7 linked regions of the Oryzias latipes genome follow. The protein of the gene in region 2 interacts with the protein of the main gene of each other region in a biochemical or structural test. Links are inferred from orthologs where the notes say so. Each region holds a gene or a part of one and is shown on either strand. Other genes may lie near its edges.

The links.
Region 1: the proteins of hif1a (region 2) and mta1 form a complex in vitro, tested with the Homo sapiens proteins (2 studies listed by BioGRID). The link is inferred for Oryzias latipes from reciprocal best matches to the Homo sapiens genes HIF1A and MTA1.
Region 3: the proteins of hif1a (region 2) and epo form a complex in vitro, tested with the Homo sapiens proteins (2 studies listed by BioGRID). The link is inferred for Oryzias latipes from reciprocal best matches to the Homo sapiens genes HIF1A and EPO.
Region 4: the proteins of hif1a (region 2) and egln3 form a complex in vitro, tested with the Homo sapiens proteins (5 studies listed by BioGRID, with this or other methods). The link is inferred for Oryzias latipes from reciprocal best matches to the Homo sapiens genes HIF1A and EGLN3.
Region 5: the proteins of hif1a (region 2) and hdac3 form a complex in vitro, tested with the Homo sapiens proteins (2 studies listed by BioGRID). The link is inferred for Oryzias latipes from reciprocal best matches to the Homo sapiens genes HIF1A and HDAC3.
Region 6: of the proteins of hif1a (region 2) and usp20, one has a biochemical effect on the other in vitro, tested with the Homo sapiens proteins (2 studies listed by BioGRID and IntAct, with this or other methods). The link is inferred for Oryzias latipes from reciprocal best matches to the Homo sapiens genes HIF1A and USP20.
Region 7: the proteins of hif1a (region 2) and rack1 form a complex in vitro, tested with the Homo sapiens proteins (2 studies listed by BioGRID). The link is inferred for Oryzias latipes from reciprocal best matches to the Homo sapiens genes HIF1A and RACK1.

The regions. Positions count from the first base shown.
Region 1 is NC_019880.2:4,694,818-4,699,072, reverse strand, and holds the start of mta1 (metastasis-associated protein MTA1), read left to right. Parts: upstream 1-1,387; 5' UTR 1,388-1,406; intron 1,407-1,521; exon of another isoform or gene 1,522-1,550; 5' UTR 1,551-1,623; coding exon 1,624-1,651; intron 1,652-4,255. UniProt on the Homo sapiens protein: Transcriptional coregulator which can act as both a transcriptional corepressor and coactivator. Acts as a component of the histone deacetylase NuRD complex which participates in the remodeling of chromatin.
Region 2 is NC_019880.2:11,968,847-11,973,093, forward strand, and holds the start of hif1a (hypoxia-inducible factor 1-alpha), read right to left. Parts: upstream 2,801-4,247; 5' UTR 2,517-2,800; coding exon 2,485-2,516; intron 1-2,484.
Region 3 is NC_019876.2:6,191,023-6,194,685, forward strand, and holds part of epo (erythropoietin), read right to left. Parts: intron 3,603-3,663; coding exon 3,472-3,602; intron 3,359-3,471; coding exon 3,272-3,358; intron 3,022-3,271; coding exon 2,857-3,021; intron 1-2,856. UniProt on the Homo sapiens protein: Hormone involved in the regulation of erythrocyte proliferation and differentiation and the maintenance of a physiological level of circulating erythrocyte mass.
Region 4 is NC_019880.2:24,327,624-24,331,903, forward strand, and holds the start of egln3 (egl nine homolog 3), read right to left. Parts: upstream 2,884-4,280; 5' UTR 2,696-2,883; coding exon 2,333-2,695; intron 1-2,332. UniProt on the Homo sapiens protein: Prolyl hydroxylase that mediates hydroxylation of proline residues in target proteins, such as PKM, TELO2, ATF4 and HIF1A. Target proteins are preferentially recognized via a LXXLAP motif.
Region 5 is NC_019868.2:25,322,629-25,326,801, forward strand, and holds the start of hdac3 (histone deacetylase 3), read right to left. Parts: upstream 2,929-4,173; 5' UTR 2,795-2,928; coding exon 2,740-2,794; intron 1,835-2,739; coding exon 1,752-1,834; intron 1,665-1,751; coding exon 1,522-1,664; intron 1,428-1,521; coding exon 1,346-1,427; intron 1-1,345. UniProt on the Homo sapiens protein: Histone deacetylase that catalyzes the deacetylation of lysine residues on the N-terminal part of the core histones (H2A, H2B, H3 and H4), and some other non-histone substrates.
Region 6 is NC_019870.2:7,753,131-7,757,527, forward strand, and holds the start of usp20 (ubiquitin carboxyl-terminal hydrolase 20), read right to left. Parts: upstream 2,848-4,397; 5' UTR 2,572-2,847; intron 2,379-2,571; 5' UTR 2,358-2,378; coding exon 2,280-2,357; intron 2,171-2,279; coding exon 2,117-2,170; intron 1,912-2,116; coding exon 1,849-1,911; intron 1,757-1,848; coding exon 1,616-1,756; intron 1,543-1,615; coding exon 1,440-1,542; intron 1-1,439.
Region 7 is NC_019868.2:17,071,824-17,076,264, forward strand, and holds the start of rack1 (receptor of activated protein C kinase 1), read left to right. Parts: upstream 1-1,593; 5' UTR 1,594-1,710; coding exon 1,711-1,819; intron 1,820-2,186; coding exon 2,187-2,358; intron 2,359-3,083; coding exon 3,084-3,231; intron 3,232-3,499; coding exon 3,500-3,595; intron 3,596-3,804; coding exon 3,805-3,915; intron 3,916-4,162; coding exon 4,163-4,303; intron 4,304-4,441. UniProt on the Homo sapiens protein: Scaffolding protein involved in the recruitment, assembly and/or regulation of a variety of signaling molecules. Interacts with a wide variety of proteins and plays a role in many cellular processes.

The sequences.
Region 1 (4,255 bases), about 7.3 Mb from region 2:
CTCTAATTTAACTTAAATGACACAGTGTGGCAAACATCTAAATGCTTGTGCACATCCATTTTGTAGAAAAAAAACACACACCCTCAGTGCTCTTTGTCATAAAAGAGCGCCAGGATATAATCCAGGATCCCTCCCAAGCAGCTCAACGCGGAGACTGCACACATAAGTAGGAGTGCATGAGGCACGCACAGCTGATTGGCCTGATCCACTCATGTGATCACAAGCAGAGTCCCCCGTGTTAGGCCATGGTAATTGAAGCTTCCATATGGTATAGATCAGATGTTGCCTTCACCACAGCATTCCTGCAGCACAGTGACTTCCTTTTTGCATCCACACTGAAAACTGGGCTAATTTGGACAACTGTTTGGCATAACACCCACTCATGTAACGTCAAATAAATGAAATTCAATTTGCTAAATGACAAAACAAATTACATGTTTATGGTTTATACATTGGAGGATTTATTGATGATCTATTGTCTAATTTTTTCTTGCGTGGCAGGTGTGACGCTCTTTGCCAAAGTATACAAGAAAACGAACTTTAGCAGGAAACAGAAAAATTATGAAAAGCGTTCACTATTTTCTTACAGTTCTTTATATTACAAAGATATGAGCCATTATATAATGAATATATTACTATATTAAATTAGGGTGAAATATTTCATATTTTAAAGTAAAAATTGGATTAAAATTAAACATTTTAGCATAATATTAATCATGTTTATCCAATCACCAATTGGCTACTATTTAAATCTAAAGTCTGTAAAGTTATGCCATATTTAAACAACAATTTCTCCAATTTATCATTTTCTGTTGCTTCTGAAAATGTTACTTCTATGGAACTTATTTTTGTTTATAAAAATAATCCCTGAGTTAATTTTAAAAAGTGTGAAAAATTACTAGTTTTACTCTATTTTGGTTGCACGTGCAGTTAGTTAAACACTACGGCAACTCTTTAGGGATACTTTTAAAACAAATAAAAAAGATGATTGAGAAGGAGATTCTTAATTTGACAATTATTTCAGAGTTATTATTTATAATCAAAACTCCTATAACTACATAATATATAGGGAAACAGCAAATAAGTACATTTATTTACATAAGCACAGGTGATGTTCGCATTTCTATATCCAAGAACTTTTGTTTTTTATTTTAAAGTATCGCGATAGTTTAAGTTCTATGCCGCAAATAACTGAGGCAATGTTGGGATTTTCAAATAATAGTCGAATTATCTTTCTTGACAAGCAAAATTGTGATTTTAAACAAAAGTGTACATTCAATTGTCAAATTTGAAGTTGACATTTTCATAAAAACGACTTACATAGACGCGTTTAAGGAAGATTACGTCACTTTCTCGTTGTATAAATTACACGTTTTGGGAAATATGTCATGTGTCGCTACTTAAAGGTAATATTTGTTGAAATTGTGAGTTCACTTATCCACGTCCGGGTGCCCAAATTTTGAGGTTTCGAAAAAGAGGTGTACTGTCTCTTTAAGACGTCTCTGGCAGTCTGTTTCGTATTGATCAATCCACCATTTTCCAACACACAGCAGCTCCGGCAGCGCCACAGAGAAGAGAGCCACCCCTCTACCTGGAGAGGAAGCCAGGGACCGGGGCGCAGTCATGGCAGCGAACATGTACCGGGTTGGAGGTAAGCGCACACGGGTTCGGCTCTTTGGAACACCCCCGTCTTCGTTATTTTATGGCGGGCTCGCCATTATTCACAGAGCGAGATCTTTTATTTCCCAAAAAGCTAAAGAGCTTTGTGCCTCCACAGATGAGGATGGTGTGAAGAGGAGGATGGTGATGAAGAGTAGTAGATCTTTTTTTTTTTCTAATCACGAAATGTTGGTAGCTTCTTTTGTGCCTGTGTTTTGTTGCTCAGCGTGGAGCCAAACAACTCCTTCAGTGTGGGGATGCGCACTTTAGTGAAATGCTTTAGGTTCTCTCCTGTTTGAAGGTATCATGGCGAACATTTTCCCCAAAGTTTTGCGTGCGTTTAAACTGCTTTCTGCTCGGAGTAGCAGCCAGGAGGACTTCACTGACTGACCAACGGAGACAGGTAAAGCATCCATGAGCTGAAGGAGAAGGAGGCTGCTGGGACAAAAAGTTCAATTCTACCAAAAACATTTGGGGAACACCAAACTGGCAACTTTAGTGATGGTTTTCATGCCCATCCATCGCTAAGCTATTTTATTTCCATAATAATTTAAAAATATTTTTAAACAGGCAATTGATTAAAGTACCTAATTAAGATTCCCCACCCACTCGTTCTCTGCCTGTGTTCAGATTCAAATCCTACAGGGGAAAAAAACACGTGAAAGTTCACATAACAAAGTCTAATAATGTCATTATAAATTATTGTAAATATATTAGCCCTCTTGTTGTGGTTTAAATGTTTAAAAATACCCTTTAAAATGTTACAAATGTCTTGTTTTGTGTGTTAAAGGTTTAAACAAGCAAAAAACAACAACAGGTTTTTGGTTTAATTTTAGAAATTAGGAAGTGTTTTTTGGGATTTAAATAAATTTTTTTTTCTATTATTGTAACATAAGCTATCTTGACAACAGTGGTCATTATAGAATAATCCACACAAAGATGCTTTTCTAGTTATTAATTTAATAATGTGTGTTTATGTTTTTAAAATGTATCAAAAACTTGTAGACTGGTGTAAAAATGATATGTGAACTAACTGAAAAAACCATTAATTTGAAACATTTTGATACCATAATATTTATCTCGATGGTACACATTTCTCTGTGTTAGGACTTCATAAAAAAGTTTTGTAAAGATACATATAATGATGCTCAAAATTAATTTAAATCTTATTTTTAATGTTTTTCTTTCACCCCTAAATCCAGTTTGAATTAGATCTTCTTCTTTAAATGTATTGGCATTGAAATAACACCTGAATTTGTCGGATTTTTGCATTACTTACCCTCCTAAACGTTCATCAAAACAAACACTGACTGAATTAGTTCACAACTAGAACGTAAATATAGTGTTGAGTGGGCGATTTTTCTGCGAGTAATTTAGATGGGGTGCTGTGTGGGTTTTTGAACAATTGACGTTCTTTGGCTTGGATGAAGTTGTCATTTGTCTCGAGATGTGTCATCGTATCCCCGAAGAGCTGGCAGCAGGTGCAGCAATTTACAGCTGAGTTTATTTATCTAATCTATGTATTGATATTCTTTGGTCATAACCGCTTGTACAGGCTGAGTAACCACATTTTGTAGTACATCTAACCAGTGTGTGCACGTCTGGGAAAGAGGAACGATGATGAAGAAGAATTACCTTCACTTTATGGATCTATTTGCTTGTTCTGACCAAAAAATCGTCCCATCAAATGTAGGAGTTAGATGGACTTCTATGGATCAGCTATAGTCAAATTAAACCAGATCTACCTGACTGGCAACAGGATTATGCCCAGATCAGGGTAGAAGGTTAACCCTCCCTCTGCCAAAGTGTTGCCTAATTTGGTCCAAACCTTCATCGTCATTCTCTAGAGGAGAATCCATCAGCAGGGCTTAAATTCCTCATCTGAGCAAATTGTAATTAACTGTGCAGATGTATTATTTATTTATTGCCTTAATGCACTGAGCTTGTATTGGGTTGCCTCTGTTTTGTTGCACCGCAGCTCAGGAAATGTAATTAAATTTATCAATCAGGGTCTAAGCTGTTTACACAAACTCCCTAATTTGTCATTTTGGAAAAAGAAAAATCCATTTAGCTTCTTATAAAATACTTGAAAACATCTTAGGATTATGAAACTTACCCAATTTAATCAAAAATCATTAAACATAAGTCATAAAAATAGGACGTCTTAATTAATAACTGATAGGAGTAATCTAGACTTAGCCAATAATAAACCCTGCCTCTCCTGAAACCGGTTCCAGGTCATCATCAGAAGAAAGCAGAGCCTTAAAGAGTTGCCTTCAACTTTGCAAGACAATGCTGCTGAACCATCTTAGGAAGGACTTCCTTTGAAAAAGACTTGGACAAAAGCAGGCTCCTCTGGCCTTCATGTCTTTGTTTTGCACAGCGCAGGCCACAAGCCACTCATCCGGTGCACACAGCGGTTTTTCCTCAATGCTTCGCACCAGAGAAAGTGTTAATTACCAAAGATGGGCTGTGTGTAAAGCATAGAAGCAAACACAGCTTCTGCTTATTGAACTAGAGTTCAGGAGACATAATTTATTCGTGCAAATGTGTTGCTTAAAGGAAAATGACTGCAGAGAATTTAGTTGCCTTCGAG
Region 2 (4,247 bases):
CTGCTGCTCTTTAGCTTCACTATTGGGTCAAAAAGCAAGTTTTGACATTGCTCAAACTTGCTTTTATTAACATCAAATATAAGTGATGGAGCATTCTTGTGAATTTATCCCGACGTTAGCATGATAATCGCCACAAATTTTCATGTATAATAAAATCATCAATCATATTTTTTTTTCTAAGATTTCTTTTTAGTTGCTTCTGGGCCCATAACCCGTTGATCTTTGCAGCTTTAACACCAAAAAAAACAAAAAAAACAACTCAAAAGACAAAGAAACAATCTTCGTTAGCCTTTTGGCATATTTATGAGGGATCAAAAAGTTAAACAGCTCACAAGAGTTCCTCTCACTTAAGATTTCTGTTATGACATAACATCCATCTCTGACCTCTAAGTCTGCACTTCCCAGTGGTTAAAACCCCCAACATAGTCACAGTAGGTAATTATACAAAAATCCTAATTTCAACTTTAATTTAATTCAATTCAGGAAACAGCCATAAAGTTATATTTTTGGCAAAAAACAGAAACATGTCCTTCTATATAATCCAGGTAATCTGTTTCTAGTTCTAACTAGTCTGCTCCTTGAATGCCTCACAGGAAGCACCCATCGCCACTCAGTGAATTCCTACACACTTTTAGCCACTCCCATTGACGTCAAGACCCTGTGATTAAGAGATGAGACAGAAATTATAGCAAAACAATTTACGGAGGTCTGAAAGAACTAAATCAGAATAAACTGCCACAATGGCCAAGACTGAACACGTGTTTATTTCCAGTTTAAATGATGACCCCATTATCTAGATCTAAACAAAGCTCTAAAACCACCACACATTTAGCTGTTTAGGCAGACAGATGCAGTAGGATATGTACTTAGTTTTCAACTTTTAGCCACTCTTTGTGCTTGACCAGTGTAAAAAAATAAAGTTTTCTTTCTGAACTATAAGGGTTTTTTCATCACAAATTTTTACTACTATTCACTATGTTCATATTTTTCACCAGCAGCTGAATCATAATCATTATGAGCTTTTGTAGGTAAAAATTTTTTGTTATTAAGTGGTACATCAGGGAATTAAAGTTATGGGGGGGGGGAAGTCAGAAAATATGTCTTGCTGGGAGGAAACCTTTTTCTTTTTACTTTTTCCTGTTGAACATACATTTCTTTATTACATTTCTGCTTCATGCAAAATACTGTATACTAAATGTTCAAAGTTACATGGCTGTTTTAAGATGAGAAACTTACATTACAAAAGTTATAAAATAATATGTAAAATCTAAAAATTAATATGTATTATGTCTATAAAAAATGTCAACAAATATTTTGATTAATATTTTAAACCAAAATGTCAGATCAATTGTAATAGAGTAAAGAACACAATTATTTTATCATAAATATCCTACTTTGTCAATGTATTAAAATCCAGACATCATTCAATTTAGTAAAATGTGATTACCCTTCATTGCATCAGCTTTGATAAACTGGTAGTTCAGTTTACAAATGAGTTGTTTTTATCAATAATTTCTATTCACTGAATTGTACATTTTATTATAGAATGATTGTTAATTTTGTGTAAAAAAACTACAACTTTCAAATAATAAACATGGCTGCCTAACCTTAAAAGTAACGAAATTAACTGAAACTTTAAAGTTTCTCTGTTGCACGACACTTGTACAACCTTTATATCTTACATCATTATTACTATTGTTGCTATTATTATTATGGTTGAGTGTTACTCTAAATCTAATTATTTTTTGGAAAGCAATAATAATATAATACCAAAGGCATTTGGTGAAACAAATTTTTTCTAAAATGGGTTTTTAAAAAGCAACTTTCAGCAAAACAAAAGGCTAAAACAAGAGTTTTAAAATGAATCTTTAGTCTCAAATTCAAAACGACTAAAACTTAAGCAGACAAGGAGGAACTTCAGGCCACAAGTCACACGTGAGCAGCAGGTGTTCACTGACCAGTCAATACTATTAAACCACATAAATCCACTGATCTACTCAAATGTAACTAGATGTATAAAAACTGCAAATATTAATCGAAGTATTATTAATTATTAAGATTTAGAAAATCGACCACATCTGCTGGGATCTAAAGAAGTTTCCGAACAAAAAGCACATGATGATGGAGGGAAACGCAGAGAACGGTTTTAATGACGTAAATAAACTACATTTTAAAAATTCCAGCACATTAAATTATTTCAATATAAAGATTTAGTGTAAATAGACAGGTTGACGCCGACCTTTCAATATAACACCATTTCCGACAGCTAGCTATGTTAGCATTTTTGCTAACGACACTACTAGCAGCGATGACATTCGTATGAAGTCCAACAAACACACCAAACTGGCAGTAAGCTAGAAATTTTGGACCGTAGAGAGTAGTAAACGTAAGTGAATATTAAAGTTCTAACAAAAGAAAAACATGTTTAGAAATGTTTAAAACGAAAAGCAGACGAGTAGCGGCGTTAGCAAACTGTGACGTTACCTTTTCTTTTCGGGTACAAATCCTGTGTCCATGTCAGGACGAAAGGACTTGAGTTTAGCCTCTCTATCGGTGTGAAGCTGTATCCGGGCGCGTCAGAAAATGAACCACAATCCCTCAATGTTAATCCGTTGCCTCTCAAGTGGGTTGCATAAGAGTTCGAGGCAGATATCCTTTGTTGGATAAATCAAACTCTCTTTGGCTCAAATCGGGCTATTCGGTATACTTTCCGTAGGGTTAAGGAAAATGTGCCACGCAGGAGACGCGCTTCTTGCTAAGACAATGTTGCCTCGCGAAGGATCGTTGACTCCTCCTGCTGCCTCCCGGGAACGCGCAATCACGTGTCCTTATTTTCCACCAACGGGGGCGCGCGCTGCAAGCTAAAATCACCTGCTGCTTAAAATTGCACACATTTTTGCTGCCTGCATGGCGCGTGACTTATTAAAAGTAATGCAATTTTAGGGCAAATAGGTTAAGGTATGTATGTTCCAGGGAATAATTGATACAAGATTTTTAAATTGTATCTAAACATACAAAAAATGTGTAATTGTTTACATCTTATGTTTTTTATACAAATTCTACCTTTTAAGGCCTTTTGCAATTTTTTTTAATTTACCTTATTTATGCTATTTATGTGCTTTTATAGTGGAAACATCTTTTGTTTTGAGTAGTCTGTCACTATTCCTTGTCAGACACATGGATGGATCAACACAAACAATGCAAAGTTAACATTTGCCTTACAAAAATAAATGGAAAGTTACTATAAAGTATGTTTTCTATTTGTGTTGTAATCTGCTCCTAAAATTCAAAGACACAATTCTGTAAAAATGAAAATAAAAGGTATCATTCGACAGAGAAAAAAAAACTTTTCCTTGACTCATTTAGAGCTGCTGCAGAAACAGCAAGCTTGAGAGTACAAAGCAATAGGCCTGTGGACTGGAAATGCATCAACCTGAAGATTGCTATAGGGGAATTACTTGGAGGGTCTCTGTGTGGAGTCTTTTTCATTATCTCCTCCGATTCAAGGGATTATCAGTCAAAGATGCTGGACAGCAGAGTGAGATTGGGGACTCAATAAGGTTTTGCTGGAAGCTGCCGGAAGCTCTGGATGTAATTAAAGATGGGGTGGATTCAGATATAACCTACAGACAGCTGCCAAACATGACATATATACAGTATACACAAACCGTGGTTATGTTGCAGGTTATTACTTAGGAGGAAAATCCTTAATAAGGTAACTGACTTCTTGGGTTATTTTTTATCAGACACGGTTTGTGTTTTTACACATACCTGACATAACCCAATAAGTCAGTTAATCTTATAGACACAATGAACTTTATTGACTTAATAAGGGAAGTCTTAACAGGTCAGCAGACTTTGATGTAAATTTATATGCATTTTTTGTTGAAAAATGAATGAAAGCAAAATTTTTTCTTTTGTCTTGAATCAGCTTCTAGTCCACCACAGAACACGGGCTTGAAGTGATAAACACACGTAGAGCTCAGCGACTTCCACATTCAAACTCACAGGAAGGGTCCGTCTGTGCCGTTTTAACCTCAAGAGCTTAGCGGGGCTCATTTTTTTTGCCAAATCTCCAAATGCTTCCCCACGTAGCAGACAAGAAAATACTGTCACTCATGTTTTTTTTCCTGTTTCGATTAAAAGCGATTGTAGAGACGTTCTGTGGTTTCCTGTTTATCCTCTCTTGGTCTGCAATGAGAAAATGTGCGAGTCGAGGCAAATGTGGATTACACAAAGTAACAGTA
Region 3 (3,663 bases), on a different chromosome or scaffold from region 2:
AATTTTTCATAGTGTTCTTCTAATTATCTCAAACATCTACAAATCCAATCATCTACCTTTAAACTTTGGGATAATGTCCAGAAATATCAACAGTGCATCAGATATTTTAAACAGCTGGAGTAGATTTTTCTTCACAAATAAGGCTCTTAATCTGCATTGTCTGGCCTTTACAAAAAAGTTGTAATTAGCAAAACTGTTCACTCAGGGTTCTTGCGTAATCAGTCTTGCTTTTAAATGTCTATTTATACTTTTATCTGTCAAAAGTTAATAATTAAAGTCCCAAGTGGACATTTATGGTCTTTTGACCTCTACCTCTTCCTTAGTATTGAGGGGAGCCAGTTAGAAGTGTCAAAGCACAATAAAACAAAGAAAAGGTCATCTGTTTGCTTGTTAAAAGAGCATGTTCAACAGAACAAAGTTCATTTTCACTAAACTGAGGAAAACAAAGCATAAAACCAACAGCAATAAACTGCTCTATAAGCAAAAGTTCAAAATTCTGTCCTTGGTGAGAGGATGACCACTCTGCTTACTGAGCAAACACCTGCTGTCATTAGTTTTCAGCCACACAGACACCAATAAAAACTTTCTTTTCCTGATTATTTTTCACAGTAAAACAATGTATTATAAGTTGATTTGACCCCTAGTTCCTCTTACATTTGATACCACACTTTTCAAACCAACTAATGAGGTCTGAAGATAGGAGTTGCAGTGTATTACGATGTGCTTCTGTTAATTTGGTTGTTTTGTTTGATTTTCCATCCTTAAAGTAGATTAGGGTGATGTGGCCAGAAAAAATGAATTGGATACGAAATGAACGAGAGCACCAATCGATTGAGTTTTTTTTACCTAAAACTACAAATTATTTGGTTGCTGAAATTGTTCTGGTTCCGTCATGATATCCATTGACAATTAGGACAGTCAAGGAACTGCTTTAAAAAATCTGCTTTGTTTTGAATTTTCGCCATAATTGAATGAGACCACCTGAAGGCCCGTACACACCGGGACGAATATTCGCCAGGCGTTATTCGCCAGCGTTTTTCGCCACGTTTTTTGTGTTCACACCCAGGCGATTTTCGCTGACGATGAGCCGAGCGAACATGCAATTTCCTTCCCTGACATTAGATGGCGCTTAATGTAAACAGAAATACTCCTGTACACAAGGTGGCGCTGCGCAACTTTACGCTTCTTAAAGTCGCTTTTCACTCAGAAGAAGAGAGCAAGTATTTACGCGCTTGTCAGAATAATACAAAGAAAACATGAATATTTCAAGCACCAGTAGCTCCAACTGGTGCATGGTTCGGGGATATTTTAGAATGTCCGTCATTATTTCTTTGCGGCAGTGTTGACGCTACTTGGCGTCTATCTTCTTCGCTGGTATGTGTGCTCAGCAAGGCAGTTTTGTGTTTGAGCGCCCCCAAGCTGTGTTTTACTGTAACTTCAGAAGCTCCAGACACGCGTGCAAAAGCGCCATTCTCATTGGTCGAATAGATTTCGACGCGACGCGTCGGGAAAAAAAAACGAACCCGAGGCGTTTTTTTTTTTGACGCTTTGACGCGTGGCGTTTTTTCGCGTCAGTGTGCACACTCACATTGGTGCCCTTTGTTTAGTCACGAGGCGTTAAATGTCGGCGAAAATCGCCGGCGAAATTCGTCCCGGTGTGAACGGGCCTTGACAATGCTCTGACAAAACTACGCCATGGTGATGTAGGCGAGCCGTGACTCACAGCAGACAAAATGTGTGAAGGCCTCCATGCATCGTATTACTGTCTGTATTAGGCCTTAGTCACAACTGCCCTTATGGGTGGATAGGGTCTGCGGGCAAAAATAGGCAAAACTGTAAGCGGCTCACAGGTTAACTGCACAAAGTATCAAGGTCGTAGACCTCTTGATGACCTTACAGAGTGGAAATGTTTATGCACATTTTTCTGCAGAAATGCTGCCCCTTGCGTGCTCCTTGCATGCAGATAGACTGTTAGAATTTAGGAAATTAGACAATCAGAGTATAGTTTGTGTGGGCATCCAACTAGCATCCTGTGAGCACTTACGTAATCATAATGGTTAGTAAGGAGTAAGTACTCGCACCTAACGAACGACTAAAGTACAGCGTAAGGACACCGTACAACAGCACCGCCCCTACGTCATTCAGTGCATGCAACTTACAGTATCCTTACAAATACTTTAAGATGCACTTACCACACACAACAATGGTCCATTCCACTGTCATGACGTCCCTTAAGGTGGATGCATTAGTTTCAAGGAAACTGCAAGACACAACTGTGCTCCCCTAAAGATTTGGCCGCTCCTCTCTACGACCTTCCATGTGGCCGGACAACCCAACAACTGACAGTACCCATACAGGTCAACCCCTATAGTATTAATAGTGTATTTTAACCCTTGTGCTATCCTATGGGGTCAAGATGACCATTGACGTGTTATCCCTACCATGACAAAAATAGATGTTTCATGTAATCCATGGAAACCAGTGAAGATCACTGAATCATTGAAGAAAAAAGTTCAGCGCACTGTCTTGTGGGGTCTAGATGACCCAACTCCCAATGTCAAAGTGCCTAGGATAGCACAAGGGATATCTAAGACTTTAGCCAGAGGCGAGAACAGATGCAACTCCCCACAACAGAAAGAACAAATTGAGATCCTGAGTAGGTCCTCACAAAGAAAAACAACCTCTTATGTATCACATCACCATGAAAAAGTAATATCAGTGTTTCCTTTTTCAACTTTGGCATATGCCACAAACTCAAATAATTCATCATTTGGTTTATATTCTACCAAAAAGTTGTCATTGTCACTTCAACGTTAGGAATGAACCGTAGAGTCACCCGTCCCATTCGCCCCTCACCTGAAAATTGAGGCTACGCAGCACAGCATTGATGCTGACCAGGTTTCTGGCAGTGTTGTCTATGTGGTTGTTCAGCGCCGTGTTGGTGACCGATGGTCCAAATGAGCCGAGGGCCTGCTGTAACAGCCACAAGCCGGTCTGCACTTCCTCAGCTTGCTCTAGTGCCTTCCCAGAGGATAAACAAGAGCAAAGAGTGGGGGTCTCATCTCGGAAAAGATAAGAATCAAAGGATGTAGGAAGCAATTAACTCTTCCTCTGGAAATTATCAGAACTCACAGCTCAAGAAAATATTATTACATAAAGAAAACAGGCAAAACAACATTTTTACGTGTTAAAAAAATCACAATGTAACATGTTTTTATTGGCTACATCATCAGAAGGTTCAATCATAGCATTTATTCAAATTGATACTTACATTTTTCTTCTCCCAGTCCTCGAAGTTGACTGTAGTTTGGGGAACAGAGACCGTCTGTGTTAGGCCACATCCTTCTCTGCATGACCTCTAAGGAAGTGCAAACAAAGACACGATAATTAAAGCCTCCTAATTAAAGGGATCCAAACATCCAGTATGCACAGTCACCACTTGTGGATCCCATTCACACATTCTCCACTCACCATAGCGACTTCTGCGTCTCGTGCTTCCTGGATGAAATGGTTTAGGACCCTCAGGTCACAGATTGGCCGCAGTGGGGATAGTAGGCCTGGGCAGGTCCACTCCAACACAATCAACAGCAAGGCAAACAGTCCTGCCACCAAAGATACACACAACAGGAGTTTTGCAAAGTCTAGAGGATATCAAATCTAGGT
Region 4 (4,280 bases), about 12 Mb from region 2:
TCAAGCAGACGGCAGAACACCTCACGATGTGACGGAAGCTCAGAATTCAAACCCCACGGACAGCTGCCGTCCCAGTGGAACCTCCAGAACCACAACTGTTCCCAGCTTTGGATCAGTACTTCAACTCAGCCGCTGTGGATTCCAGCAGTCCTGCTGCTCTACAGCGCCCCCATGTGGAGCCACAAGAACTGGTTCACAGCAAAACCTCTGAATCCGGCCGGGTTTGTCTCATTTCTAATCCTTTTTATGACTTTTGACAACATTTGTTTTGATCAAACAAACTTGTTGTTGTTGTTTGTGTCGTCATGAAAAGGAGTTGATGTGAATCCACAACAGACATCCCATCATAAGCTCCTCTTCCTCACTGTCAGAGTGAGGAATGACATGTGGGGGTCAACTGGGGAAGGGGGAGGGGGGGCTGACCTGCCGCCAAATCCACATCCTGGCAGGAAGCAGGAAGCTCCACGTTTGCTCAGGCATGTGCGCACGTGCTCGTGCACGCACAAACAAAAACATAAGTGTGTCAGGGTGGGGGTTGGAGGGGCTGCAGACGGATAAATCACCTGGAGGTGTTTTTATTCCCCTTCCTGCTCCTGGGGTGGGACCCAGAACTGCTGCATTGTGGGAGAGCGTGGCTGGCTGCTGCTGGGGGGGGGGGTTTCCCATCTGCTGACGGTTTTACGACAGAGCTACGTGCGGAGCGTGAGGCACAGGCCGCCGGGCCGACTCCCTCCCCCCTTGCCCCAAACGAAGGAACGCCGGGGACGGACCCCCGCCAGAGGAGCGCCTCTGCTGTGGAAACGGCTGAACCGAGGGGTTGGTGGTCTGTACGCCGCAGACGCGGACAAGGTCAGGAGGATGAGCTGTGAGACCACAACAGCTGCTGGGATTCGAACCCCCATCAATGCAGAAAATTTGGAGAGCCTTCAGTCTGAGCTCTGCATCTTCCTCTTCATCATCACTAAATCTAAACCAGGATAAACGACAGAACACCTGAACATTCACAACAGATCACAGAGTGACTGCCAGAGTGCCCTTGAGCCCAACACACACCTGACCCCCCCTCTGCCAAGGGCTCCCTGGTTGTTTGATAAAAAACTGAGTTAAGGTTTCAGTTTAACCTTTGATTCACTGCCTGTTTAGGTTTGTGTGGAGCTGAAAAGCAGCAGTGAATGACCCTTAATCTGGCCTCTTCATCGTTAATCTGGATTATTTTTGTTCTTCTCCCGAGGCTTGATGAGCCACAGCGGCGTCTGTGAGGTTCTGAGGTTTTGAAGGAGGTGCAGAGATATTCTGATTCAGAAATGACTTAACATACATGATAATCCAGACTGTAAATTAGAGAAAAAATACACTGAACATCTGTTTTAGACTCTGAACGGCACATGGAAACTTCAAAAAAATAAAGACTGTTGTTACAAATAAACATTTTTCATGTAGCATCTGCTGGTATTGATCTGAACTTTAGGTAGCCACATCAGAGGACGGAGGACACAGGCGGCGCCAGCAAGTCGCCCGCTGTCAGTCATGTTACAGTACCCTATGGGCTCAAAGTCCCGCCCCCACGTACAGTTCAGATCGACTCCGAAAACAAAAACTCTGAATTGAAACTGTAAACTGAGGACTGAATATAGAATTTTTTTAATTCACATTTCAAATCGACAACATTTCCTTAAGTTTTATGTGTACTTTTGAGTTTAAGACTGTTTTTTATTTATTCTTCAAAGTGACTGACTTTAGGCTGATTTGGCCCCGAACATCTATTCCTGTATGATAGTTTATAGCTTTAGAGGCTGGATGTCTCTGTTTCTTTCATTTATTATTATCTTAAAGACCCACACCCATGAAAATGGTCTTATAGACGTGTTCTTGTGGCGACAATGTGGCATTTCTTAATTTCCAATGCATCCACCTGCAGACAAATAGATCCGTGATCGTCTTTATTTTCCTGGTCTTGAGCTGGAATCTGGATCCTAACTGGATCCTGCTCTAATGTAGAGCATGCAGACAGACAGCTCTCAGCAATGGGAAGAGCGGCGGGGTTGCCAACTGTGCTGCCCACAACTCAGAGACTAATTTCTAATGAACTACTGCCGCTCTGCAGAAACTATGTCCTAGAAATGACACAGGTTTTTAGATGTAGGCTAAAAACAGCATCATCATAATTAAGAGACCAAAGGTGTCAGGAGTGGGACTTTAAAGTCATTTTTATATTTAAAACATGATGTTTATTAGTTGTTAAAGCAATAATTCATTCTTTAGTTAATGGCAGCTCATCTCTGGGATTAAAGTGACTACAGCTCCAGTCCCGGCTCCGTTCCCGGTCTCTCACCTGGGACCGTTCCCGGATCACCTTGTTGTTCCCCAGCCGGCCGGCGCACACGGAGATCAGCCGGTCGATGAGGTTGAGCAGGAAGCCGATCGCCTCGCAGCCGCGCTCGGACCCGCTCACCCAGGCGATCTTGTCGCCGCGGATGGTCCGCCGCTGGACCCCGGGGGCGGAGCCGGCGAGCCGGCCGTCGTGCAGCGCCCCAGAGCCGTGCATTCCCTTCACCTCGTCCAGCACGGCGGCCCCGGCCACCTCCCCGAGGAGCCCGTCCACGTAGTAGAAGCCGTGGGTGAGCAGGGCCGGAACCACTCGGTCCAAAGCCAGCCGCTCCAGGTCGGTGTGGGACAGCTGCTCGGTGATGGGCATGGCGGTGGGGGCTTCAGGCTTTACAACCGTTAGGACTGAACCGGAGGGGCGGGAGGTCCGGTAAATGTTGGAAACCCAAAACAAGAGCGAGACTGGACTTTCCGCGGAGTTTCTGCTTCGGTCTGAACTCCGAGGGAAGCCCCGCTCCTCTTATTCCAGACGCGCGTCGATGCGGCGCTCACACCACTTCCGCCACGACTTTTCACAATAAGACGACAAACCGCTCAAGCTCAGAATCTGTTCAACACAAACAACACTCAACCTCAAACCAGCAAAATATCACATTTATGTTAAAAAAAATCTGATATCTAACTTTTAAGATTAGGGCTAGAAAGGAAGACAGTGTCGTGACTTATTATTCTGATCCTTGGATCTCTAAAGACCTGAGTCTGTGTCAGCTTTTTAAATGAAAGAAAACGCTTTAAAATAATATCCCAATATTTGTTTATTTACAAATACTTTTATTAAAAATATTTATGAACAAGATTAAATAGTGGAAATGGCTTTTCTGTGGTAAATCCTAAAAGGAACAGCTAGCTGAAAGGCAAATCAAATATTTACAAATGAGTTATTTCAACTTGATTTTTTTAGTCCATATTTACTTAGCTTATTTTATATAGTATTCCCGTCTTTTTTCGCCTATTTGTAACTCTTTACAATTAATCTGCTTTGACAATCCACTTCATTTCCGTTTTTTTTTACTAGTATTGTGCATTTCAGTCCAGACCACTGAAGCTGTTCCGAGCATGCATCCGCATGTAGCCTACTCAAAAAAATGTTTTAGGTGTATTTTCGTATACTGAGAATGACACATGGAAACCATGAAGAGGAAATCTCCATCGAAACCAGGCTGAAAAAAAACTTAAATTCCAATTTTTCTTTGTAATACCAATTCATTTGTGTAATTCTTTGTTTTCTTTTCATTTTTACTACCTGGGCTTTTCCGTTTTTGTATAATAGTGCAGTAAGGTGTTTTTCATAATTTAAAAAAGCTCTATGCGGTAATAAATCATGAATTTTAAATTGAAACACTAATTGAGTGATTTATTTCAAACTTTGAGCAGCACCTGAGGTTGGGTTTATTTTGAAAAGCCCACTCCCTCTCTCCGCTTTTCCGCCGCTGCTTCGCTGAGGAGCGCGCGGCGGACGTGCTGGATGTGATGTTCCGCGGAACAAGAGAACAGGAGGCGGGCTGGGCGCTTTGTTGCTGGGTCACAGCGTCTGGTCACGTAAACATGTGAAAGAGAAACACTAGTGTCTTCTACAAGAATGAACAAAAAAAAAAAAAAAGAGTTTATCTGTGCAGAAGAGCGTAATATAACGCCGCTTCTCTGACAAGAATCGGGGTTACACGGTTACACCTTCACGGAAACGTTTAACACTCTGCCCGCGCGGGCAGACGCCATTGGCTACCCCATAACCCGCATGTAGCCCTCGCGCTCTGTGGCTTTGACAGGAACAGAAAACGTGTACTTCACCACGCGCCCAAAGTGGAATTAGTGTTGATACAAGTGAATACAAAGAAACTGACTAAAAATAACACAGTTAAACAAAACAAACAAAACATTTCAAATTTACATCAATA
Region 5 (4,173 bases), on a different chromosome or scaffold from region 2:
TTACATTCAAGGAAATCCAGACAAGAAGGAGGCACTGTGACAGTGACACCTGCTGGTCATCTCAGGTCATGGCAATAAAGTCATAAATCCAGAAAAAAAATCATTGTATTTTAAAAGTGCTTGGAGCCTAAAAATGTTTTTATTTTTATTCTGTTGCAGTTTCAATAATTATAAATAAAAGGTAAATGACACTCCAATGATTCCAGGTTTTTCAATAAAGTACATCTTTCGTCTTTTTACTGTCTCAGATGAAAGGAAACGAGCGGCTGGAGTCACCGTTTTAAACTTTTAATTCCAATAAAGAAGCCCTGTTTACACAGAAAACAGCTACGAAATGTAGGACTTTCTTTTTAGACAGAAATAAAGAAAATGATTTAGAAATGTCTTCCAAGATGTCTATAAAAGGTTGGCATTGAAAGCTGCTTTGCTGCTGCTTTTCAGTCCAAACCAGCTTAATGTTCCGAATCAGAACCAAACAGTGAAGGACCATGTTTTACTATAAAGCAGCTCAAAACTGGATCAGCTGTCCTGATGATGACAAACGTCTACTCAATGATATTGTTTTCTGTATGTATATCTGTGGATTGATATACATCCATGGATGTCTGTGGTGACAGTCGGATAACTCCTCACTTTCACACATTTGCACACTAGGAGAATAAATCCAGTTTTATAGAATGCAAACAAAGATCTGATGATGATTTGGCACAGAGGAGATTGATTGACAAGGTCAACAGCGAATCAGGACGCAGAACACAATGTGCTGTTAAAAAATGAGATCGCCACAAATGAAGACAAATGCAAATTTCCAAACATTTCCAGCTTCATGCTGACAACTTTGGCTGTTTTTTCCCCAAACATTTGCTGAAACTATTTTTTTAAGACGCAGCTTGAAAATAACATTGTTTTTTTTTATATTTTTAAGAACTGAAGCTGCTATGTTTGTTACAAACTCCAGAATATTTAACTATTAACTCTATTAATGCTGCAAAAACATGTAAAAAAAACCAAACATTTAGCTTATTTGTGACCTTCCTGTGAGTAACGATGTTTGATAAATAATAAGCAAACCATTTTCTTTTTTAAATGATTGCGTTGAATGTGGCTGAAGGTTCTCGTTTATCCGGGTGACGCAGTTTGGAATATTTCCTCGGTCTAATAGAGAAATCGTTCAGTATGATGATCGATTGTGGTGTAAAAAATCTGCAGCCCTTTATGATCATGTAAACATTTAAAGTCTGACCCTGTGAATAATTCCTAAATGGAGCTGAATATCCGTTACTAGAGGAGTCCATGAGTGACGGTTCATGACAAACCCAGTGATGGAGAAAAGCGGACGGCTTACCTTGTGGTTGAGCTGCGTGGCGCCCTGCAGAGACGCCCCCGTGTATCTGGAACAGAACTCAAAGAGTCCTGGAAACACAGGACTAGAGCCCGCCGTTGGGTTAGTGCTCACATTTGCATGAACCAAAAGCAGAAGACAGATCGATGAAGAGGAGGAGCAGCAGCAGCAGCGCTCACCAGTCATCTCCAACGTTGAAGGTGTTCAGGCTCTTGGTGAAGCCCTGCATGTTGTTGGGGCTGACCTTCTGCAGGAAGTCGATGTAATCTTCAGAGTGGAACCGGCACATGTCGTGCTGAGAGGCTTTGTACGGCTTAAAAACCTGACGGTCACAGAGAAACTGCAGAGTTCAATCTTTGATCTCGAAGCAACAGTGGAAGCAGGTTCTGGACCTTCAGGAGTGTCTCACCATCATCTTTTTATATAACCCATAATGCAACACCAGACTGTGGGTGAGAGACAAACGGTGAGGCTTCATGGGATGACCGGCACCTGCAGGAGACGCGGTTCACAACAAGCATCATCACTTTTTCATCATCAGCTCCATTTCAACATGATTACACTTCCAACGCGTTTTCACGACCAACAGGAAAGAAGATTAAAAAAAATGCTGCAGAATCCCTCCATTTAGTTTGAATCTGCTGCAGCTGTCGGTTCTGTAAATGTTTGTTTGTTGTTGTCTTTTCTTTTTAGACCTATAAAAACCAGAGAAACCACGATCACACTCTGTCAACAATCGTTTTGTCAATCAGAGGCCGTGAATGCTTTGGGACAAACACTTGTTTTAGATTTTGGTCTCCATTTTTATCCTGCAGTGATCAGCTCTTTGTGGACTCACAGCAGCTTTGAACTGAGCTCACACTAATAAAAAAACCAAATCAATGATAATCCCAAACTGTTCAGAGATTATAAACAGCTGGAAGTGATTAAGACCTAAAAGTTTTCATGATAACAGAAACGGGTAAGGACATAATTAATTATTATTAACCTTTCTATTACCTAAATCTAGAATCAGTACTCCTCAGCTTAATTGGTATATAGTATAATAGCCCATTCCTGTATAGAATACAAATTGCAAATATGTTGCCTGGAAATAACCAACTCAGTCAGGGTTTAAAAACACCAACAGATAACCCTAAGTATCTACATACACTCCTGCCGTGGGCAGGATCGCTACAATATTCTTTTCCTTTGCACCCAAATGTGACGTTATGTGTTCATTACTCACCTACAACACACTGGCCTGAACATATGAATGAGATAAAAAAAAATATCTTAATTAAACCCAGAAACAAAATTGGAGCTGAATTTTAACAATGAATCGTTTGAATTGTTAGCCTCCTCCAGCTAGCTTGCATTAGCACTCCTGCTCCAATCCCAGCGTTCAGCAAACTCACCGTAATGAAAGTTTCCCACATCTGGGTCGTAAAAGTAAGACGTCCTAATAGACATTTTAAATGTAAAAAAAATAATAATAATCCTGAGATTCAGCGAGGTTTTACTTTTTAAAGAGCGGCTCAGTCTGCCGCATTTTTCCTGCCGCTAACGGCTAACCGTAAACATTTAAAGGTGACGTCATCATGCTGGGACGCAGGGGATGGAGAGGGGAGGGGCGAACAGGGGGTCTCAAGATGGCGGAGTGAGTTTAAACCAATGAGTGATGATCACTAGAGGAAACATCACGTGGTTCCTCATGGGAGGAGAGCACCGCCATCTTGGTGAGGTCAAGTTACTGCTGCAGTGAATGCATTTGAACACATTTTTTGCATAATACCAGTTCATTGTTTGTGTTTCAACTGCCAAAATCAGAGAACTGAGTCCATGAAAGAAGAAGTATATCATTTCATAGAAAAGTATTATAATTTTTTTCTTTTGTTTCTTTCTTTTTCTTTTGTTTTTCTTTTATTAATAGAACACATGTTGACATGCATGATGCTGCAGGGTTATTATCAACATGCTGCATGATGTACGGAGAATTTGCTGTCGACATAAATGTACATTTTATTTTGCTAAACCTGTATACAGCATACTAGGCTATTATAGTAATATAGATTTATACATGTCTGACTCAGTGACCGAACTTTTCACTATTCACTATTCAGACTTAAGGAAAAAGTGGATCTTAGCAATAAAAAGAGCTAACCCAGATGGATCACTGTGGTACCAACTAGTAATACAGTCTGACTGTTCAAAACATTTGTGGAAACCAATTTAGATAAGAGGCCAGACTGTTAGCTTGAAACCTGACACCATACCATCTGTGTTACACAAATTGATCACTCACATGAATCTATTATTTTTCTTTGTTGTTGTTATTTTAGGGTAAATCTATTGTTCACTTTTGGAATTCTTTTGAATATTTATTTTATTATTATTATTATTATTATTATTATTATTATTATTATTATTATTATTATTATTAATAATAATAATAATAATAATAATAATAATAATAATAATAATAATAATAGACTTATATTTTATTATTTATTGACTTATTATGTATGTATTGCTATTATTTATTGTTTGTATTGACTTACTATTGATTTATTATTATTATTATTATTATTATTATTATTATTATTATTATTATTGAGTTATTGTTGGGTTTTTCTAAATAATTTAAATTACATGTCAAAGAGGTCTAAAATTCCTAAATGTTTACAAATTATTTTTTTTTAATTCTTTGTAATAATTTTTTTATTTGTAAGAAGTCCTGCAACAATGCATTTTCATTAAAGTTTGAGCTTTTAAGGCTGACTGTTTCTCTTCTTTAACAACAACAAATGATGTATCTATATATATATATATATTATATATATAAATATAAT
Region 6 (4,397 bases), on a different chromosome or scaffold from region 2:
TAGGTATGGGAGTTGAAGACCCTTCTGACATTTGGTTCAACCAAACATTCTTAGCGTGTTTGTGACGGCCACGTCTGTACAACTTCCTCCTCTCCTCTGGAAGCAAATCCAACTCACCACCAGGTGGAAATCGGTTGAAAACTGCCTAAAGCTTCTCTAAAGTGTCCAAGACACATGACAGGAGGTCAGATGACATGACCACAAAGTGGATCATTGAACTCCTGCCAAGGGTGTCCTGGTGCTGCGAGCACCGATAAACACCAGACTCAAACATAGTTTGTTAAGGACAGACTGTGACTGACACTGAAGTTCTACAAGAAAACTCTGGTTCAGATCAGGGAGGATGTTCCTCCTGATCACATCCTTCCAGGAATCACTGTCATTGACCAAATGGGTGATTACGTCTCTCAGAAGAACAATGGAGTCCCCAGTCTGAGTATTTTCCAGGAATCCTCCTTGAGATTTTAACAAGGTCGAGGAACTGAGCTGATAACTGCTATTACACCAAAAGCAAAAAAAAAAAACCTCAGTAAGAAAACGGTTACTTTGTGCTGCTGTTTGACTCATAAACCAAAAACAAAGTTAAAGCCCTCTCCCTGGAGCTGGAGACACAGAGACACCAATTCTCTACTCGATTCAAGGAGAAGCTCAACATGTGATGAGTGAGCTATAAGCAAACCACGTCTCTTAGTTCTGCTTTAGAGTGGAAGTGGAAATCCAGGTTCTTTCAAGAAGTTGGATTTCAAGGGCCCAAAGTGTGCATGGAGACAAGGCTGACTGTCATTAGCCAGTACCGCTCAACCTACTGCACAAGCTCAGGCTCTTTCCCACTCAGTGTGGGTGACATTCCATCAGTCAATTTCTATGGCTTGCCCTCTGAAGGAGAGCCTGGGCCGGGTTTCAAAGCAGGACCCCAGTGATGCGAGTCAGAGAAAAGTAGCACACCTTATTTTTAAGAGTTAGGGCTCCCTTTTTATGTTTTTCATTTGGAGGAACTTCCTTTTTTTCCCTTGCAACTTTTACCTTCAAGGGTCGCCACAGTGAATCAGCTTTGACCATTTAACCCTGTCTTCCGCATCCTCTATTCTAACGCCAGCCACCTTCATATCTTCATTTACTGCATTCAGAAACATCCTCTTTGGTTTTTTTCCCTAGACCTCTTGCCTGGAAGCTCTAGAGTCAGCATCCTTCTATCAATATAGTCACAAATTCTCCTCTGGACAAGTCTCGGCCATCTCAGTCTTGCCTCTCTGACTTTATCTGCCAAACCTCTGACATGTCCTGTCCCCCTGTCATGTACCAAATTTGGACAAACGGTTAAATTAATATTTTTGTTGTGCTTCTACTGCCTGTTTGAAATTTTTTCTGATCTTTAAACACAACATTCACTTCGTTTAACTGGGCTTTTTTAGTAGGAAAAGTACTAAGAGGAGATCCACCTCTAGGTTTTAGCTCATCTTCTTCTGATTCTGAGCCGTCTTCTTCTGCCACGGCAATTGGAACAGCTTTCAGTGGGCGACATCCAGACTGTGGAGCTCCATCCTAAATAAAACATAAATCATTAGGAGTTTTTTTTATAGTGAAAATCATGTGCGGCCCTGGTGTGGCTCCAGACCTGCTCTGCAGCTTTGCAGTGGTGAGGTGCAGAAGGCACAGGGACCAGGGCTGGTCTCTGGTCTAGAAAGACCTCCCGCTCACATGTGTAACACCAGATCCTGAAGGTTGTTAGGTTCACCGTCAGATTATGCTTTTTTGCCTGCAAGCAGATGCCAAAAAAAAGAAAAAAAGACAGTTTTAATCCATTTAAAGTGTGAAAAAGGTGGAGAATTGATGGTATGATCACTTTACCTGTGCATGCAAGGTGCTGTGATCAGAATGAGACTCTCCACATCCAACGTAAGGACAGTCACTCTACATATCAGAAACACTGAGATCAGATCTAGCAGAACTGGATCTTTCAATTTGCAAATAAAGAAAAACAATTAAAGTTTTAAGATTTGCAATTTGAGAAATGTCGTGTTAAAGTAGCCACTGATTGCAGAAGGTGCACTTTGAGTGCAACTTTTCATAGGAGTTGTACAAGTTAAACCATCACAATGGAATATTTGAAGCATACCTGCAGACAGGCCCACAGGTTTGGCCCCCCAGCACCACATGACTGACAAGTCCCCTAAAGAAATGTTTAAAAAATTGGGAAATCAGGCAGATTACGTCAAATGATAAGCTAGTGAGATCTACTATGGCATCCATTTTATTTAGCAACAAAAATGGAAACTCACCTTTGATTTCTTCAGTAGATCATCCTTGGTCACCTCACCTATGGAGTCCAGGTGAGGACAAACGTCTTGCTCTGCCATAACTATTCTTCAATGGTGCGTCTGTTAGGTTGACAGCAGACATGTTATAAGAGGCTCTTAGCTAGCTCCATTATCACAACACCAAGCCGAACTGCAGTCACAAACACAAGCGATCGGTCTCTCTGACTGCTAGCTTAAACATGATAAACGTTGAAATGACCGTCCCCCCACAGAACCAACCGGGAGTCGGCAAAGTGACAGGCCCAATGTTTACCCTCGAAAAGCTCATCCCGTTCTGTCGTCTGCAGCGATAACAGTTGTCACGAATAATTCCTTATTACCACAGAAGAAGAGCGGCTACCGCAGGCGAAACAATTATTTCTCATCTTCTAAGAAAGCTCTCGAGTTGACTCCGAACAGCTAGCAAGTAGAGGAGCCAGGCGACGTTGGCAGCTGACCCACAATCCTCGATCTGACACCCACCCCCTCCCGCTCCGCCGCGCGGCTCAATGTAACTTCTGTGAGCCACAGCGGGCGCTACCAATCGTTGAAAACGGGGGACTAAACGGGGAGGAGTCTGATGACGTAAGCAGGTAATATCGGCAGAAAAAAAAAGATTTATATCGCTAGAGGAGACATCACGTGGTTCCTCATGGGAGGAGAGCACCGCCATCTTAGTGAGGTCAGTGTATGCATGTGAACACATTTTTTGCAAAATGCCAGTTCATTGTCCGGGTTTCAACTGCCAAAATCGGAGAAATTAGTCCACGAAGGAGGAAGTGCTTTACAGTCACACAAACATTCACACACTGGTGGTGGCTCTGCTGCTGAACACTGGCGCCAACCCACCACCAGAGGCAAGGTGGGGTACAGTGTCTTGCCAAAGGACACTTTGACACATGGGTGTGCAAGGCGGGAATTGAACCTGCAATCTTATGATCGACTGCCCTGCCGCTGCCCCACGGCCGCCCAAGGTATACTGAATTCAATTCTAAATACAATCTTGTTGTATACCATTGTGTTTGATGCTGTTTCCAAAGAAATATGTCAAATGTTTAAGATAACTGTTAGGAATAAAGAAATGCCCTCTATGGATACAAATGACACCACCACAGGAAAAATCTGTTTTACCCCACAAGAACAACAACAAAAAAGTACATGCCTTGTTTCAAAGGGATGTCATTTCTGTACCATGTATGTAAAACTACACCAGACGGTTTGCTCCCAACAGTTTTTGGAGAAAAGGCTGGAGTGTGACCCAAAAATGTATGATAAATATTCAAATGAAAGAGGTTTCTTTTAAAATAATTCACAAAATCTACCCCAGCAATCAATTCATGCTGAGATATGTTAAAACAATTGACCCTAACTGTAATGTTTGCAAATGACATCCAGAAACAATTGACCATCTTTTTTGGAACTTTAATGAAAATTGAATTTTTTGGAAAAAGTGTTTACAATTTATCAAAAAACATATTCACCCCAACTTCACTCTGAAATTTGAATATATAATTTTTTGCTTTCAAAATAAAAACTTGGGGTCAAGTAAAAAATGTCATATTCATAAATGCAAATTTTCTTCAACTTCTATTTTCCCCATATTAATCAAACAAATTGAAATATATCTCAGTACCATCTCTAAAAGCCTTCGCCAGAAAGCTGTATGTTTCTATGAAAGTTGTAAAAACTTGAATGTTTTTATGTAAAATGCATGTAATAAGTATGCTCCCCTGGCCTATTTGAAGTTTATTTTGTAAAAATGTGCTTTGTACTATACTTCTGTTTTGCACAAAAAATTAAAAAAAAAAAGATATGACTTATTTTATTTTTTATTTAATGTACACTTCAAGGACACTAATATAGAAATCTATATTATAGATTATATTTTAAAAAACAGGATTTATTTTCAAAATAAATGAAATGAATGAAACTTGTCACAGCAGTGAGGTATTGACATTTTTAAAACGTTTTCCACAAGTTTAGGTGTGTCTTGATGGGAATGTTTGACCATTCTTCCAGGAATGCATTTGTGACAAAGATGTTGAACGTGAACAGCTGACTCACTCCATATAATCTCAACCTGACCTCCATCAATTAAAG
Region 7 (4,441 bases), on a different chromosome or scaffold from region 2:
GGGGATGTAGTGAAGAACAACACGTGCAGCTGTGATGTCACATGCCCTCTCTGGGCTGACCCTGAGCCTACATAGGCACTGCCATCTTGCCTTCAGGATGCCTATAGTCATCTCCACCCTGACCCGTGTTCTGCTGTGGGTCAGGTTGAACTGTGCCTGTTGTCGAGTCTGAGGATCAGGGTAGGGGGTCATCAGATATGGCAGACAAGGATACCCCCTGTCCCCCAGCAAGTAACCACTGAAATGTCCTATAATGGCAGTTAAAGTGTATAATTTACATAACATTAAATGCATGACATTGTATAAAAAATGAAGGTAAATTATACCCTGGTGAAATTTGGGGCACAATTATGACTCCCTAAAAATTCTGGCATCACGAACAGATCCTAGCTATTTGGCTTCTTTTGTTTCTGCTTTCTTTTGTTTTGTGTGCTTGAATTAAAAAAACAATTCCAAAAAGATGGATCATCATACAAACTGCCTTACACCTCATTCAAATATAGAATTCTTTGTCGTATATTTGTCTCCTCTGCTTCTGCATGATCAAAATAAAGTAACATCGCAGTAATGCAAAATTGATTATTTTCGAATAAAAAAAACAATCTGTAATATAATGAATGGAAGTACAGCACAGTAACAAAAAAAGCATTTGGCAGTCACTGATTCTTCAAGATGTCGCACTTTTAAAATGACAGGTCAGTAATGTTCATCATAGATACTATTCAACTTTGAAAGACGACAACATGTTAAAAAAATCTAGCTGATCACATTGTATGATTTTTAAAAATGTGTTTGTATAACCCTTGTGCTATCCTAGGCACTTTAACGTTGGGAGTTGGGTCATCTAGACCCACAGTTCACTGAACCTTTTTTCTTCAATGATTTGTGATCTTCACTGGTGTCCATGGATTACATGAAATCTTTCCACCTTTATCCACTTTTTTCATGGTAGGAATAACACGTCAATGTAAGGGTGGGGGTCATAGGATAGCACAAGGGTTAAACGGGCACAGAAAAAGAGTACGGTATTTGATCAGAAACAAAAGTTCATCTTGAAATGCTTTTTACGTTGCCACTCCTTTGCTGCCATAAGTGGATGTGGCTGTGGCTGTCCAAACACTTTGCTCTGACAACACAATGACAATCGAAGTAAAAAAAGAGTCAGAAATCTGAGATTATTTTAAACAGCACAGAGTAAAAAAAGTTTAAATTAGACCAATTAGATTAATTAATTAGGTTAAAATGGGGGGAGGGGGTTAGAATCCGAAGAAAAAAGCCAGAAGTCGTAAAAAAAAGTCTAGAACTCTGACTGGATAATTTAGAATTCTGAATAAAGTCAGAAATCTGACATTATTGAGATAGAAAAGGTTTGAATTCTGAGATAAAGTGAGAATTTCCCTTTCTCCGTGGTCCTAATCTTCTTCCGTACGTAATAAAGATAACTATTGGGATTTTTTTCCCCTTTCTTTAAGAGAACTTTTAATTGAAAAACAAGCTAAGAGGTGCATACATCAATGGCGTAAAGCAGACTACTGCGGTGTAGTCAAGTCCACCCGTCCCAGAATCCTTTGCGCGACCTTTCATAGTTTCTGCATCCGGGGTCGTATTTCCTTTTCCTCTGTGCCTAGATGCGATGAGGAGCTAGGTTCGGCTGAACCTGTCTAAAATCCGAATCCATCCTTGTAAAAGGCACCACCGAACCTCCCCAAAATGACTGAGCAGATGACAGTAAGGGGGACCCTGAAGGGGCATAGTGGATGGGTCACACAGATCGCCACTACACCTCAATACCCCGACATGATTCTGTCGGCGTCCCGAGGTGAGGCTTCGCCCCGCCGGCACCGCCAACATGGCTAACGTTAGCTCTCAGCTGCTTGCGTTCAAAATGCTGTAACTTTGAATTTGTTGCGTGAGTAAATGAAACCAGCTAGATTTAATAAACAACTACGGAGGTTTTTACCGTATATAAAGTGATGCAAAATGAACATTTGTAGACATGTTAGCAAAGAGGTAAGCTAGCTTCCTGTGACATAGCATAATATGTGGCAGCTGCTACCTCAAAAAAACTTAGTTGTAACTGAAGCACTTTTCTTATTGATGCACATTTTATTTTGAAAAAAAAAATGTATCTGAATAAATATAAAAGTGGTTTGAATGTGTTTATCTAAAGTATCTCTTGCTTTCAGACAAATCTATCATCATGTGGAAACTGACCCGTGATGAGACCAACTATGGCATCCCCCAGCGCTCCCTGAAGGGCCACTCTCACTTTGTAAGTGATGTTGTGATTTCCTCTGATGGACAGTTTGCCCTGTCAGGAGCCTGGGATGGAACCCTCCGCCTGTGGGACCTCACCACGTAAGTGAAGGGCAGGAAGCATCTCTTTAGTGGTTGGTGGCAGCATGATTTTAATCATTTATGTGAAGCAGCTGCCAGCCAGCCATTCATTTGTGGAGAAAATGGGATGTATTTTGAAAAGATGCCTAACACATATGTACTAAAGACTATCAAAAGAAGACGAGTACATTTACTGATTACATTCCATGATGCATATAAATACCTTAGATTTCAGATTAGTTTTGTTGTTTTGCTATTGAGAGATTTGGAAATCAATTTAGCATGTTTCTTTTTAAAATGAGGTTTACCTGCATCCAGTCCAGTCATTTCAGTTTTTTAAGCACCAGTTTACAGCTTTAGTTGTTTCTAGGAGCCTCACAAGTCATGAAACGTCCAGTCAACCTAAATTCATTGTTTTTAATTCATTCCACCTCACATCATCTTTAAATGCCAAATTCTCTCAACTTGTATGTTTAGTCATTTTGATGGAGATCTATCCTGTTTATATTTTATGGGATTGAACTGACTTGTTTTAATGTACTATTGTCTCTAGCCTTTACCTTTTTTTGTTTACATTTGATAGTTTCACAGCTTTCTAAAGGCAAACCTTTATTGATGTTCCTTTCTTGGTCCGTCTGTTGTGGAGTGTATTTCTTAGCTGTGGTGTGATGACAGGCGTCCTCTTCATGTTTTTTTTTTTTTTTATTGAAAGCCTCTTGCTAATAGGTAAATGTGCCATTTTTCAGAGGGCTCACCACCCGCCAATTTGTTGGACACACCAAGGATGTTTTGAGCGTGGCCTTCTCTGCTGATAACCGCCAGATCGTGTCTGGCTCTCGGGACAAGACCATCAAGCTGTGGAACACTCTCGGCGTTTGCAAGTACACCATTCAGGTGAGCTGCCGGATAATGCTGCCTCTTTGTAGATCTTATGACGTCCTTATCCGTGCTGCAGGATTTTATTGACTTTGAACTCCTGTGAAGAGTTGACATGACGGTCAGATCATGAAGTTAAGCAAATTAAGTCGCTAACCTTCAAAAAGAAAGGCTTTACTGATAATCTCGTGCTTGTAAATTTTGTAAATTTATTTTAAAAAATCACATAAGCATTGACCTGTAATCAAATAGATTCCTGTAAAACCGTATGTGTTTGATTTTGCAGGATGAAGGCCATACTGAGTGGGTGTCTTGTGTTCGCTTTTCTCCAAACAGCAGCAACCCCATTATTGTCTCCTGCGGCTGGGACAAGATGGTCAAGGTTTGTACTTCCGCTTCCCTTCATTTGCCATTAGATTGATTTAAAAACAATAGAAAAATATGCTCCATGATTTTAAAGAAGTTTGCATGTATTACCTGACCTGGTTTCTGATGAGAAGCTTTGTGGATGAGAGCACGTCTCCACAGTTTTATCTGGTCTTTTCATGTCAGTGTAAACTTGACGGTCACTGTCTGCTGCTGTTTCTATAGGTGTGGAACCTGGCGAACTGCAAGCTGAAGACTAACCACATCGGCCACACTGGCTACCTGAACACGGTGACCGTATCTCCTGACGGCTCCTTGTGTGCATCCGGTGGAAAGGTAAGCTGGTTCAGTTGGAGAACTCGACTCGTATACTTGTGAAGATTTTTAGTGATGGCACACAAAGGCCGACCTCCAGGTGTCAACTGTGATGGATAAATAACACATCATTCTGTTGGTAAACAATTGATGACAAAAGAGGCTGTTTCTGAGTGACACTGAGTCGTAAAGCCACGCTAAATGAAGATCCAGAACAGAGCTGCTGTGTGGTCATGGCTTATTTTCTTGTTAATGTTCTCTCAATCAGGACGGCCAGGCTATGCTTTGGGATCTGAACGAGGGCAAGCACCTGTACACCCTGGACAGCGGCGATGTCATCAATGCCCTTTGCTTCAGCCCCAACCGCTACTGGCTTTGTGCCGCCACTGGCCCTAGCATCAAGATCTGGGTGAGAGCTCCTACGTGATGATGTGGAACTACTGCTGAATGTGGTTTGATGGGCCTTGATGAAACTTGAAAATGCTAACTGTATTGCTTGATGATAACAGAGGCTGTTTCTGAGCTCCAGACTAATTAGCTTCAGTCA